Linked DNA regions of Oreochromis niloticus. Each later gene encodes a partner of the first gene's protein in a complex. Links are inferred from orthologs where the notes say so. Each region holds a gene or a part of one and is shown in the gene's direction. Other genes may lie near its edges.

Region 1 (6,967 bases):
TTCCTCATCTTGATGCTCAGTTTTAACTTCAACAGGTCGTCCTGGACATGTCTACATGCTTAAACGTGATTGGCTTGTTAGATATTTAACAAGCAATTGAACAGGTATACCTAATGAAGAAGACAGTGAGTTTATTTAGCCAAACACACTCTCAAATATTTGATCCTCACTGATACAATAAACACCACAATGAAAAATAAGCTTTTTATAACAATTTATTACACAAATTCCACAGCTGTAACATTATTCTGTAGAAAAAGTAAGTAAAAAGTAACCTCTTACACGTTAGCATCCCCTCCTCTTTCACAGAAAAGACTTTTTCTGTTGGCGTTGTGCCCACCGCTCTCTGACATCTGCTTGATTTAGTATTTGGTCACTAGTCCATGTTAAATTCCTGCAGTTTCAAGATGTTTGGGGATGGTGGTGTGAGGGTGGGGGGGGGTTATGTATAAGCCCATTTTAAATCATTGCCATATCATTTCAAAAACTATTGCTATTATTATTATTATTATAGTTGTTTTAATTTCTTCGGTAAATTCTTTTCTCGCTAAGTCAGACTTTAGTCTCGCTGGAGTCTGCCTATAACCCATCTGAGCAAAATCATGTCGCATCAAGTCTTACTACCTAATTTAGCTCTCCATCAACTTAAGAAATTACAGCGTAGGTGTAAAATATTGCAGCAACCAGAGAAGGAACGTGAGGCAAGATGCCCAGTCCCTGAGGCAGTGAAGCAACCCCAAACCATAACATTACCACCATGCACGAATAGCTGTCCCACACATGTCTACTGTTACTCTAGCCAGATAGCTCTATCTTTGATTTGTCCATCCAGACCACGCTTTTCCAAAGGGCCTGGTCTGTTCCTGTTCCGGCACTCCTTCCATGCAGGTCAAATTGATGCAGACTCTTGCTGACTTTAGACTCGTTTACTTTGACTTTACTCAGTTGCAGATCCCTTGGTGAAATGTTGGGCTTCTTGAAGACATCTTTTCTGCATCAAAAAAGCTACTCCTTGGCTGATTGTGCTGTTATCACTTAAAAAAAAAAAAAACACTGCTCATTTGTTCTTGTCAGAATGTCAGACGTTTTAATAAGAACTGGTCCACTTGTCACTCTCAATGGATGTTCCTGCACTTAATCTGAATTTCTGAAAATCTGAATTTCACAGATTTGAAGGTGCAGTAGATGTAGGAGTGTAATTTATCCAGGTGCCTAATTTCTTTATTTAAATCATGAAAACAATCTTTGATTCATTCTAATTTGGTGCCTTTTCCCCCCCAGTTTTTGTCAGTTTCAGAGACAACCAAATGTTCAAAAGCTGCATGCCAAATGAATGACATGGGATGTGATTATTATGTGAGTGTCTTTCCAGATCACACAGCACTCAGCAGTCAGTGTTCAAGCCATCACTTTGTTCTCACACAGGGAGAAGGAAAAACCCACTTTCATCCAGAGGCCTCACACAGAGCAAATGATGCTGGGAATAAGGAGTCACATCTTGTGAAACAAGTAGGGGGAAGAGGAATAAGACTTTACGGGAAAGAACGTCTCTCCAGAGAGCGGACTGGCCAACAACATTATGTGAGTGTGTGTGTGTTTGTGTGGGAGTAAAAACGAGACATGTCTACTACAAGTCAGGTTTTACTAAGATGTAGCAGAGAATAGCATTTCGGTGATTCTTACATTCCCGACATTCCTTCCGGTGAATTTCCAGGCAGCGTGAGGCTCACTGTTCCACAGCTCTGACATCACGAGGGGGTTCCACTGCCTTCCACATTCTTCCTCGCGCTCTCTCACAATCCCACCCATATTTGGAAGTGAGAGGAAGGGAATCCCAGATGATGACTCAAAGGCTTGTGCTGCAGAGGGAATTCTCCCCACATCTGTTTCCATGTGTGTGCATGGCATGTCTGTTAAGAGTGTGTCAATGTGCACATTACATCTCTGAGCTGAAAATTGAGTGTTGATCGGCAGGATGGGGGGGTGGGGGATTCAAAGTGGTTACAGCTGCATGAAATAACGGCACAGCCTACGTACAGAAAAAGTGACACCCTAAGTGACGCTCTCTTGCTATTTATAACTTACCTCACTTGGCAGCCATGACAGACAAAAATGCACTGTAGTGAATATGTACATTCTTAAAATGGGCTCTTTTCTCTCTATAACTGCTTCAGACAGATGATGAAAAGAGTAAAAAACCAAAAAAGAAAAAAGAATAAAAAGCTCTCTGTGATGTGCAGCACATGGTGACATGGCGCTGAGATGAAAGCTGGAGGCTGAGTCGATGTAAGCTGTAACCAGCCGCCCTGCATTGGACCACCAAATGAGGCCACGGCGATAGCTAGGACCACAGGCTGTTCAATGTGCTCAGCAGTGTGTGACCAACTATCTACAGCCTGCTAGCTCCAATAAACTCCTACCTCTACTGCGAAGTTTATTGGAATCATATTATTTTGAAGACATAGCAAGCTTGAAAGTGAATTACACAGAGGAGGAGGAAGTAGCGCTTGAGGTGGGGAGACATAAAGAACAGACACGGCTTTTGGTGTGTTGAAATTCCCTTTGTTGGATGCATGATTGATAAGGATTGCGGAGCTGGGTTTGGGAGAGGATAGTGGGGTCTCGTAATTTGGGTCTAAAGCCATATAGAGGCCTAAATTTAGACCCCGCTTTGTTCTCGTCTGCATGCTGGTGACAGAGGACTCGGCTCTCTGGGGTCGTCTATGGTCCAGAGTATCAGAAAGGCCGCTGTTGTTCTGCCTGGCTGTCAGAAACACAGACATTCCCTCAAGCAGCCCAAAATGAAAGAAAGCTTTCATGGAATATTCTGTTTAGCTGCACAGACTGTTGTGTATGATACTCCCGGGGCCCATAAAACAAGTAATTCACAGACAATATCTCACCCACGCTCTCTTTGCCACAGACTACAGCAACATAAATCTCACTGATTTCAAGGAGGAGCTGAGACTGGGTTTTAGAGCATGTGTTGCTCAAATCTGGGCAAATGGGCCCGTGAGGCAACATTATTTTTAAATGGACCAAAAAAGGAAAACGACACAAAAGAGCAGAGAATGCCCAAAGAGGTGGCACGAAAATGCATAAGCAGGGAAAAACATAAACCCATAGGTTACCATGTGGAGACTCAAGTTTTCCCCTACATCATGCTGCTCCCACAGGGACGCCGAGCGGTGATGTTTTAAAAGCTCAGTCACCCAGCACACAAATCCCTCCCTTCCTCATTACCAAAACAAGCTAATTAAAAACCTGTTAATGGGCTGTGCTGTGGGTGTCTTTAGAAGACAGGGAAATCAACAGCTAAAAAAAAAAAACCCTACATAAACATATCACAGGGACCCCTGAACAGTTAAACAAATCGATGACGCAGCTATTGTTATCTAATAAGAGGGTTGAAAACACACACTAGCATCCTACACATCTCCATCTGAGGATGCTCACAAACAGTGTAAAAAAACAGAGAATCAAAACAAAACAAGTGACTCACTGAAAACCAACTGGGACACACACTGTCATATCCTGAGAGAGCGTGAGAGATGCCTTCCTCTTATTGAAGGACAGATGGATCGCCCAATCTGTTACGTGCCAGTGTGCCAAAGGACAGACTGGCCACCAAACATCTTGCACCTGAGAGCAGAGGCTCAAAACTGGAGAATTTCAGAAACAGCCCGTCAGGTAAGTAACTGGTAGGTAAACTGTGGAAGACAAATATCATCTTATTACAGGAATTCTAATAAAAGTTGTTGGGCGACCTCTAGCGGCTCTACCGCGAATTTACATGCTGGTTGACGTCACCGCGGAACGTACCACTACTACAAAAGCAGGTGTGTAAAAGGTTCAATTAAAAGTCTACGTTTCACTGTTTTGAACTTTTCTTGACACCACGGCAGCCATTAATTTTTTTAACGACCAGACTTTCCCCCAAAAAGGGACAGAAAATAAGCCCACTGCGGATAAACAATGCAATGTTTTGTCCCGTGTGACACAAACCGGAAGTGAACGCAGAGAGGCGCCTTTTCTGAGCTTTCACTCAGAAAGTAAGCACGCTCTTGCGTAGGCCAGCACTGTTTTTAAGTAAAAAAAAAAGTTAACTTACGCGCTTAACACACTATACAACATGGCTACTAAAAAGAAGCGAACGTCAAACGTAGATAATGACAGCTGGGTTGTCATCGCTCCAGGTGGGTTAGAGAGCGTAGTATGAGCTAACTAAGCTAGCTTACTGCGTAGTTTGCAAGCAGTTATTATGCGTTGATAGGTGTAATAACTGATGTAACTGCTGGTGGTGTTGTGAGCTTTTATGGCAGCTGCCATGCTCCGGTCTTAAACTACATGCTAAAATAATAAATTAAAGCTTGGCATATTTATTATGAGAAGAATAAGAAGGAGAAATAGTGGTGATTTATCATGTGTGGTATCTGTTTTGATGTCTGCAGACTCTGCTATCGACACACACAAGCACGACGGTGATCCAGTTTTTGTGAGACTAAGGAATCCATCAACAGGTCTGATTGTTTCTTTATATACTTTGGTCTAGCAATGAAACTTGGTGTTCATGTCAGTATCATCGAGTGAGTAAAGTTTTAGATGAAATTAAACTTTTATCATATAAAATGTAATGGAAATAAGAGAAACTGGCACACTGAGAAACTATGTAGCTGAGATCCATCCATCCATCATGGGAAGCCCCCATTAGTCTAGGCATCCTGGACTGTATGCTTTATCAAGTTTTGAACCTAATCTTACAAGTAGAGAGGGTGTCTGTCTCCTAAATCCAAGCTGGAAGCTAGTTCCACAGAAGAGGGACCAGAAACCTGAAGGCTCTGCTTCCCATTCTACTTTTAAATACCCTAGGAACCACAAGTAAATCATCAGTCTGAAAGTGATGACTCTGTTGGGTTGATATAGTACTATGAGGTCTTTAGGATAAGATGGGGCTTGATTATTTAAGACCCTGTATGAGAGGAAAAAGATTTAAAGTTTGATTCTAAATTAAACAAGGAGCCAAAGAAGAGAAGGGAATGTGGGGGAGATAAAAGTCTCTCTTTCTAGTCCCTGTCAATACTCTTGTTTTGGATCAAATGAAGGGTTTTCAGGGAGGTTTGAGAACAACCTGATAATGAATTACAGGAGTTCAGGCTAGAACCAGTAAATGCATAAACAAATCTTTCAGCATCACTCTGAGACAGGATGTTTTAAATTTTCAAGATATTGCACAAATGCTAAGAAGAAGAAGGCTGTAACGTATTGATAACAGCAGATTATGGGCTTTACAGCCTGTGTTTCTAATGTAATGCTAATCACAGAACGTACATCAGTAGATTAAAGTTTTGTGTAGGTGGCTCTGGATTGACATCCTGTTATGTTTGGTGTAGTTTAAACTCTTTCTGTTCTCACTGTGTGTTACCATCACAGAACATAGTGTGTAACCATAACGTCCAGCCTCACTGCATGCTCTTTCCCGACTTCTGAGATCAACACGTTGCTGCTGCAAGAGATTTGAGAGCAGTTAAACTAACAAAGGAGAAAACGTTAACATCAGCTCTGAGCAGCTTTGTAAAAAAAAAAAAATCTGACCACTGTTTGCTTCTTTTGATTTAAATATTCCTTTAAAATTCAACAAGATGTCACTAAATCATAACCTGTGCCAACCCAGAACACTTAGCATGGTAATGTCTATATTTACACACTTGTTGTGTTACTTGTTGGTTTTGACTTATGGATTATGCCTTTTTGTTTTCTAATGTGTGATTTATTTATTTTTTTTTAATTCTGTTGCAGTTCATTGATTTTTAATTGATAATCAATTGCTGAGGCTCTAAAATGAAAGTAATAGTAAGACTTAACTTGAATATATAATCAGTAAGTCAGATTATAGTAGAAGTCAAGATTTAAAGACATGTTTGTGGTAGAGAAACCATCTATATGCTGTCAAATGTTTCAACCCTTCCACTCAGTGACTGGACTGACACACACACACACACACACACACACACACACCCCTTCATACACCAAGTTAATTTTTGCACAATACTTAGTCTTTTGCACATTTCTGTTGCACTTGTTGTGTCTGTGTCATTCTGTTCTCTCTGGTGTTGCACTGTCTTTGTTTTGTTTGCAATTGTTGCAATCTTTGCACATTGCACTTTATGTAGTCCTGTGTTGATTGTCTGTTATATGTCATATGTAGCACTAGAGCTGGGCGATAGAACGATAACGATATGTATTGCGAAATAACTTTTTCTCGATAGAAAAATGAAACTATTGCGATAGACCTCATCTCTCTCTCTCTCTTCCTCTCTTAAAAAAAAAAAGAAAAAAAAGAACAGCCAATCCAAATTAAGTAGCGCAGAGCCGAACCAATCACAGCCGCAGCGTCACATCACGTGACTTGTTACGTACAGCACAAGTGCCAAGCCGCACATGTGTATTTGTTTGGGAAGCAGCCAGCCGCCGTGCCGGCCTGGGTAATGGAGGAAATGAGTGTGCCGACTACAGAAAAATCAACCGAGAACTTGGGTGACCAGGTTACCGAAGACAACACAGATGACGGTTCCAATGCCGGAGAGATTGTCGAAAGGAAGGGCCAGAGAAGTTCTGTAGTGTGGAGGTATTTCGGCTATTTGAAGTCTGACAAAAAACAGAGTAGCGCGTCTTTTCCCAAGAGTTAGCTGCCTGGCAAAGCGCTACCTGTGCATCCCCGCAACCAGCAGCCCCTCTGAGAGGGTATTTAGTACAGGGGGTAATATTGTGACTTGCTACAGGGCCGCTTTAAAGCCTGAAGCAGTGGATAGACTTGTCTTCCTGTCCCGCAACCTGTAGGCTTTTGTCAGACTAAAGTTTTATATATATATGTAGTTGCACCTTGGATGTGCACCTAGTATTTAAAGAATGTTCTGTTAGCATCTTTATTTTAAAACTGTTTGAAAAGCTAAGCTATACAACAAGGAGA
Region 2 (7,971 bases), on another chromosome or scaffold:
CCAGGGTAATCTTCTGGGTATGATTCCTTCTGCGTCGAAGCAATTTTCTAAAATAGTAATTAGAACCCTGCAATCTGAGTACACAGAGGGGCCTGGAGGAGGTTTAAACGTTACAACATGTTCTTCTTTTTCAAGCAAATGTGTGCATTATGTGGGTAATTCTCACCTTATGCCAGTGAAATGAGCATGAATGTAGAGGTCAGATGAATATATCTGCACCTTGCTCGACATGATCTCGATGACAGCCGTGACTGAGGGAGCATACTGAACAGGGAGGGAAAATAAACTTGTTAATTAGGTGTCAGTTAAATATTGACCTGCTGTTTCCGTATTAACATGTGTTCCCCTGTATCCCTGTCCTGCTTATTGCTCCCTAGTCCCTTTTTATCTAACATCTATATATGCAGGACTCACTGGGTTGTCTGTGAAGTCTGAGAAGAGCTCCACCTCCAGCACTTGTTTCTGCTCGGCTGCTCCAGTCAAAAAGGCCGGGAGGAACAGCAGCGTTCCCAGCGTCCTCAGCAGGTCTGAGCGGTATCGCAGTATGCTCTGACCACAACAGCACAGCACAATATCTTTCACTTACAGTGCACACATTATTATCCAGACTCTGGGATGAATTCATTTTGCTCTTTCTTACAAATGTGCAAATCGGTGCAAAAAGTCTTTAGTGATGAAATTTAAAGAAAGTATTACGGATGCAGGCTCAGATGCTCATGAGTTTATACTACACCCATGAACCAATAGGCTGTTCAGGGTGGTTGTGGATTAACTTACCAGGGTTTTTTGTAAATTAGACACATGCATCTAGAAATTATGGAGATGTGTAAACAATTAAAATAAAACTCTTATAATTTACTTCTGTTAATTTTTTTTTTTTAATGCTTTAGAGTTTGAGTACCGGTGCTGAATCAAACGGTCGATGTCACATATTCATCATGTATTTCTAAGCTGTCATGTCACATCTTTGTCCTGTCATCTCATTAACCTTAGCACTGGGATGACCTGACACAGTGGAAGACCTCCCATAAGCAGCTCTGATCTGGCTCTGAGCAGGTTGTGTGATTAAAAGGGTTAGCATGCATCAGCACTGTACTCACAAAGCGAGAGCTGGAGGCAGACAGCTGTTGTTTTCCCTGAGAAACACACAGCAGTGCAGCAGTGAATCACTGGAGTAGCTGTTAAAGGTACACTATTTGATTGCATGTAGATGCGCTGGTGCTGAGTGAGTATGAGTGCAGCTTACAGAGCGAGCAGAGGAGGCCACTTGCTCTCCATCCTGAGAGAAACAGGTTGTTTTAATCATAAACATCCCCAGCTCCCGATTGGCTGGGGAATCCGGCATCTCCAGCTGCAAAGCCATCCGATAGGGCTGGCCGAATGTCAGCACCTGGATATACATTACAAAAAACACATCAGTATTCTTGGAATGCATATAAATGTATACATATATATAATATGAATGAATGTCTATAGGGGAACAATGATGCTTATTTCCAGCCATATATTTTTATTTTTAGAGTCTACTAGTGAGGCTTTGCATGATTCACTGTTTAAAATTAATTCACTGTCTGAAACAAGCCCTTTTAGTTCCTCCCCACTCCCCTCCCCATTCAGGACCACTTTCTTCCTCTGAAGACTTTGGACATATTTATTATGGGATTAGCATCTATATACACGAAAGAAAATAAAGAAAAGCCTAATAAGTCCCCTGCATGGAGTAAACTGATGAACTTACATGTTTTTTATTTCTGATCAGAGAGATGTTGGCCATAGGGTAAGAGCACAAAAACGAAGCTGGAGATTCACAGTCTGTCCTGGAGATTAAAACATGAATAAATGAGAAAGAACGGACCACAGAAACAGAAGCTGGATGGGACTCAACATACACACCTGTAGTAGTAGTTCACAGGTGCAGAAAAAGTCGCCTTGGGCATGTAAGAGTAGTAGAAAGTCCCGTATAGAAATGCAGCGATCCACAGGAGGAGGAAGACAAATGAGAACACAATTGAGAGCTGTACGAGTCTCTGCCGGGCCCGTGACATCGCAATGAATACAGCGTGCTGGAGCTTCACCAGCGCCCGACCAATAAGGACTGATGGTTCTGCATCATCTTGTGAATGCAAGTTGCTTTGTCGCTCCATTAAATCTAAAAACCAAACAAGCAGTGAAGGTTAATAAAACACATTCATAAAGGTTATTTTATGGAAATAAGGACTCATATGGACTCAGCTAAAGCAAGTTAAGATCCACATTTGTGAGTCTGAAAATGTTTCAGTGTTATCTGAGACGTCATCTGCTTCACATTTTCCTGAAATACAGACACACTGAGCATTTCATTCAGTCCCAGACCCTCAGTGCGGCTGATGATGTTATGATGTTTCGGCACAAGCCTTCACATTCATGTTACCGAGATCTGCAAAACCGCTGAGTCCAATCACAGTCACACGCAGAGTTCTTTCATATCAGATGACTCGAACTGTGTCAACAGTCAACTGCCAGACTGATTGTAATACATGAGTCTAAAGACAAAGAAAAGAACTCAAATTTTTCCATCAGTAGGGGTGTATTGTGATCAATGTGGCTGAAGTAATGGTATTTATGTTTACTCCTCAGTAGACGAGAAATATTTGTAAAATTAAGCTGTTTAGTTTTCACCTTCAGTGCTAAATCAGTACAAAAGTCTTGAGCCGCCACTCATTTGTTTATATTTAAATAAAAGGATATAAAGGGAAATAGATCTTATGATTTACTGAAACATCTGGAAATATACAAAGAAACACATTAAATAATGCAAATAAAACTTTCACAGAGCTTGTAGAAATTTTCTGTGAAGACAATCCTACACTGCTTCAACAGTGTTGATGTCCGGGCTCTGGGGAGGCAGTCCATCACTGATAGTTGTGTGTGTGTTTGTCTATCCAGGTGTGCTTTTACTGCACTGGCAGTGTGTTTGGGATCATTGTTATGCGTTGCCAATTAGTCTCTTTCCAGATAATATTCAGTGGTGAATCAAAGTCTGATGGTATTTTTCTGTGTTCATAATTTCATCCGTTTTGATAAGATCTCCAAAACCACTGACTGAAATGCAGCCCAAACAATGATAGCGCCTCCACTGTGATTTACAGATGGCTGTACACACTTTTCAGTCTAGCTCTTGTGTAATTTGGCATTCCCCAGCATGTTCCCAATGTTCCTTAAGAATGGCTTTTCTCTCAGATCCTCTGTAGTTTTATTTTTTAGGAATGACATTTCTTCTTTTGTCCTCCACCTGTCCAGTTTCCTCAAATTTCTAAGGAGACACTGCACACCATGACGAGATATGGCAAGCTTTTAGCTAACAGCTCTTTGAAAATCCCTTTGTTGTTGCAAAAAAACCCCAAAATGCTATTTTATGTCTATGGAACTGTTATCTTTGACATTTTTATAGATTTAACTAAAGAAATGGTATCAAAATATGTGTTTGGTTTTTTTTACGTAGGTTGTGTCTAAAAATACAATTTAAAGTAAAGTGTTTTATGCTTGAATGATTTATATGCCAGTGTTAAGTGGATCAATAAAAAAGTAATATTCCTCTGAAAATGGTTAGGTATAAAGACTGGACTGAAAAACTTTGAAAAACCTCCAGAAAAGAACATTTGGCTCCTTGGAAGTTAAATATAAAGAAATGAGGGGTAGCTCAAGAATTTTACACAACACTGTAAATCATAAAAGAAGAAGGGAGTTAAAACTTTCTCTTCATGTGAATCCTGATAAAGTATTCAAGAAAAAAAAGGATCCCATGCAACATGCCTGCAACAGTTATCTGTCCTGCTATAAAAACTCACCTCTTGCTTGTGCTGGCTAATTGTGAGCTGTTAGGAAACGTCTTCTTCTTTCCCTGAAGTCTCCTCAGTGGAGGCTTGACACAGATTTTATGCAATATGAGCAAAACTCCCCCAGGAAACTTCTCCTTAGTGGCTCTCGGGCTCACATTGGACAGGATTTAGTCCATCCCACACTAAGACAGATGCTGCTGCCAACTGTAGCAGAGTTCTCAGAACTGAACAAGACTGCAGTAACACTGCGACATACGTCATCAAAATACTCAGAATGTACGAGACATTCCAAAGTGTCCTATGACATGTGAGATTATTTAGTGATGCTGCTTGAAATAATGCCTACAAACTCACATATTTGTCCATATTCAGTGTTCGAATCCATAGTGTAACAAATGCTAACTCATTATCTAATCCGCTCCATGAGGTCTAATATTCTGAACTGTGTATTAGTTTTATGTCCAGCAGAAACTGATAATCATATCAAACTGTTTGCTGAACTGATCATTTATTGTTGATCTATTTTGTTTCGTTGTCGTCCCCAGGGGTTTTTTGTTTCAGTTTTGTGTTATCTTGTGTTCTGCTTCATGTCTTTTTAATAGCATTATTACTGGTAGTGATAATAGTCTCCCCAGTGTTTCTATTTGTATCACCCTCTGTGTATTTTCTGTTTTAATGCCTTGGTCCCCCTTTTGTTCCTTTGCCTCTGATATTCAGTTAAGTGTTAGTATTCATGTTTCTAACAGACTCTGTATCACTCTCATGCTCACACTCCTGTCTTCCTCTTTATCTGTTAGTCCATTTCAAGACTGTTTTGTGTTGTCTTGTCTTTGTCTCTTATTTTAACATATATATATATCTCTATCTATCTATCTATCTATCTATCTATCTATCTATTAAAATAATAATTAAATGAAACATTGAGATCTCTTATCAAAGTATCTCATGTCTAGAGGTGTGAGTGTGATCGCAGTTCAAGGGTGTTATTGTAAACACAAAAGCTACAAGCCGTAGAAAATCGTTGTGATCGAGCTTCACCGGGAGGAGGCGCTATTCTGGGGCTGAGCAGAAAAAACCCGCCAAAATAACTTCTAGCGTAGAAGAAGAAGGTTTTGCCCAATCAGAAGCTGTGTTTGCTGTTTACCGGAAAAGATCCCGTTTAACGTTTCACGTTTGGAAAACTGCAGAAACGTAAGGGTATAGATATATGTCTTTCAAATAAATGTAAGACTTTTATAGCATGTTGTATGGTCTTTAATAGGAATTAATTTTTTTTCTCTGGGATTCTTTGGAAAACATGCATGTGCTCACTTTGAGTATGTCGTATTCTGTGTATGAACAATGGAGATCAACAAATAAGTATTATCACCAAAAGCCAGAAAAAAAAAAATTGTTTTAAAATAAGTATTACTTTTGGCTGCTCTCAGATACTCAGGCAGACTGAAAGCTGGTCACCAAAAGGTTTCATCCTGTGCTGTGACGCATGGATTACATAGCTGAAGGTCTGACAGACAGTTATGGTTGACTGGTAGTCAGACAGGTAGGCTGGCAGAACAACACAAAAAGCTGTAAACAGGTGGAGTAACATTAAAGTCACCATGAGTTCTGAATCAATTGCAGATGATTCATTGTTTGTTTTATTTTTGAGTACACTGGTGTGCTAAACATAAGAGCTCAAAAAAAGCTATTATTGTGAACCTATAGTGACATCTGCAGTTGAAAAATTATTTTAATTGCAGAAAAACATTCAGATTAAAGGCTGAACTTTGTGGCTCAGTTTGTCACACATACAATTTGTTTTCCTTTTTTTTTTTAGTCTGGTAAACAAACTGCCTTTGATAAAAGAGACTGAGGTTAAATTAAAAACTAAAAATGTACTTTCTTTTTTCTCCTGTCTCCTGGCTGCAGGATGTCCTGTAATTCCAGTGTTATTCGTCTTTGTGCATCATCAGTGGGACAGGCACCGCAAGCTCCAGTCCACCTCATGCCATGTGAGATTGAACACAATGGGCCAGCACAGGTCAACCAATACTTCACTGCTACCACCAAAGACCAGAAACAAGGTAAACACAAAATCTTTTCATATCTGATAATATGGATTAATCCACAGCGGTTAGATAAAATGTAGACATATAAGATCGCTAAATGTGTAAATAAAGCAAACAGCTGCCAGTATCCTGGTTTTAAACTATTTTTCGCTGTTTCTGATATGATTAATTCGTTTTGGGGGTAAAAGTGGAATGGATTTTAATAATTCTCAGGAATTTTTAGTTAAAATGAGTTGCTGTTTAACACTTAAGTAAGTAATGAAAGTTTAGTTTTATAGTAAAAAAAGTGAGAACCAATTAAACAATTCAAAAACTTTAAAAGTGGGATGGTATGCGAACACTTATGAGAGTTAAAGCCTTACAGGATCATTTTAGACAGACTGGAGGCGATCAGTAGGTGCTTTAGGAAAGAAAATTACGCATTACACAGCACACATCAAGAATCCTCAATGCTTTGTTTTGTTTTTTCCTTTCACATTGCAGATAAGTCGGTGTCATTCAGGGGACGTGGGTTAAAGGGGCAGAAGATCAGCTGTCCACAGGGCTACACGGGGCTGGTGCTGAAAGAGATCAACAAACCCGGCTCAGACCAGGAGGTAAACACCACTGGAGTTGTGGGTCAAAGCACTATTTCATAAAATCAGATGTGTAGATGAGGGTTTTGTAACTTGTGTTTATGTGTGTTTTCAGGACAGGACAGTGAAAGTATCCTCTGTATTTGACAAAATGACCTACTGGAACCTGGAAACACCTCCTAATTCAGACGATACTATTGTGATGGCAATGGATTGGCCTGATTTGGCTGAGGCAGTGAGTTGTTTTTTTTCCCTCTTGGATCCATTAATCCAAGACCAAACCAATCTTTGTCTCCTAGTAATTAATATTTATCACATTTAACATAAATAATTTGCATTTTTTTTGGTGAAATATGACCCAAACAAGCTTGAGATACCCTTGGCTGTATTTTGGAGCAGGGTCATATACCATTCAGTCACCTTTAATCACATCCTACAAGAAATTAAGCATGTCGTGCTAGTTGTTGCTTGAAGCTGCTATTCTGAGTTAATTACCAGTTATTTCCTGGATCTATATTACATTTCCTTCTGTGGCAATTCAGAACATGTTCACCGGGTTTCATGAAAATCAATCTGGATGTTTTCTTGTAAACTCAAATTACACTGCACTGAAAACCTCAGTTGAGGCTCATTCTCTTTGGTGGAGGAACCGTGTTTAATTCAACTGATGAAAATACAAAAGACACAGACAGAAATGTTTTCAGATATTTGCAGGTTTGTCCTGATATTTTGTCTCTTCACAGATCCATGCTCCAGTAGAAGACTGAAGAGGCTGCCTGATGTCTCCTCAGCATTTTACATATGAAATGTGCTGCTTGTTGGTTATTCATGATAACTGATGGGAAGGCTTAAGAAGTATTTTCAGTAAGTGTTTCTGTTCCAGAGCAATAAGTTACACAACCTTTGTATATATCTTTAATGACGTTTTTTTTTGTAGTGAACAAAGAAAATTAAAAGTCACTGACCAAAGTGTGCAATGTTTTATTCACTGAAAAATGACCATGTTCATGTGGCACGTTCTACTCAACACTGTTTATTCACAAGGGCACATTTAGATTCTGTAAACTGGCTACTATAAAACCCTCTAATATGTATTAACTGCAAGTATGATATGATAACGGTATGGTAATAACGACACACAGCAGCTGTCATACAAATACACTTAAGGTGGTGGAGAATGTAAGAGTGTTTAACATTAACTTAAAGTTTAAACAGAAGGCAGAAAACTGCATGTGTTCAAGTGTCTCGGTACTGTGGTGGTTCTCAGTCATTCAGGCCATGGTAGTTTCAAGTGCTTGAAAACTATTCATCGCAAATGCATAAATGACCCTCAGGTCCACCTCCAAGGATACAGTCCCCACTAAGACTGTCAATCAGCTGTCTCAGAACTGATGAAGCATCTTGGATGAGAGGCAAGAAGAACATAAAGAAGTCCAGCTGCCTCCTTTTCAAGCACTTGAGACTCTATGCTGTTCTGTCAAATTACAGAAGTAAAACTGGTATGAGAATTAATCAGCCTGTTAGCTAATC

Evidence for each region. Proteins that work in one complex are often made in the same cells at the same time.
Region 2: the proteins of rnaseh2b (region 1) and rnaseh2c are in contact, whole or in part, in a crystal structure (PDB 3PUF), measured with the Homo sapiens proteins. The link is inferred for Oreochromis niloticus from reciprocal best matches to the Homo sapiens genes RNASEH2B and RNASEH2C. Residues at the interface, in NP_078846.2 of Homo sapiens: Arg14, Gln15, His16, Val17, Phe18, Leu19, Val20, Ser21, Glu22, Leu24, Leu35, Met36, Phe37, Val38, Lys39, Leu52, Glu62, Lys64, Phe66, Glu68, His70, His71, Ser72, Trp73, Phe74, Ile75, Asn76, Gln77, Ser78, Val79; in NP_115569.2 of Homo sapiens: Ile9, His12, Arg13, Val14, His15, Leu16, Ser18, Ala27, Thr28, Leu29, His30, Leu31, Leu32, Pro33, Cys34, Glu35, Val36, Ala37, Val38, Asp39, Gly40, Pro41, Ala42, Pro43, Val44, Gly45, Phe48, Phe63, Val75, Pro77.

Annotation. Positions count from the first base shown.
Region 1 is NC_031987.2:21,848,375-21,855,341, forward strand, and holds the start of rnaseh2b (ribonuclease H2 subunit B), read left to right. Parts: upstream 1-3,951; 5' UTR 3,952-4,132; coding exon 4,133-4,196; intron 4,197-4,451; coding exon 4,452-4,520; intron 4,521-6,967. UniProt on the Homo sapiens protein: Non catalytic subunit of RNase H2, an endonuclease that specifically degrades the RNA of RNA:DNA hybrids. Participates in DNA replication, possibly by mediating the removal of lagging-strand Okazaki fragment RNA primers during DNA replication.
Region 2 is NC_031966.2:20,689,974-20,697,944, forward strand, and holds the start of rnaseh2c (ribonuclease H2 subunit C), read left to right. Parts: upstream 1-4,962; 5' UTR 4,963-5,040; coding exon 5,041-5,042; intron 5,043-5,726; coding exon 5,727-5,881; intron 5,882-6,349; coding exon 6,350-6,462; intron 6,463-6,556; coding exon 6,557-6,676; intron 6,677-7,184; coding exon 7,185-7,208; 3' UTR 7,209-7,971. Other genes in the region: seipin, read right to left, coding at 167-264, 415-549, 1,101-1,136, 1,247-1,390, 1,739-1,817, 1,894-2,144.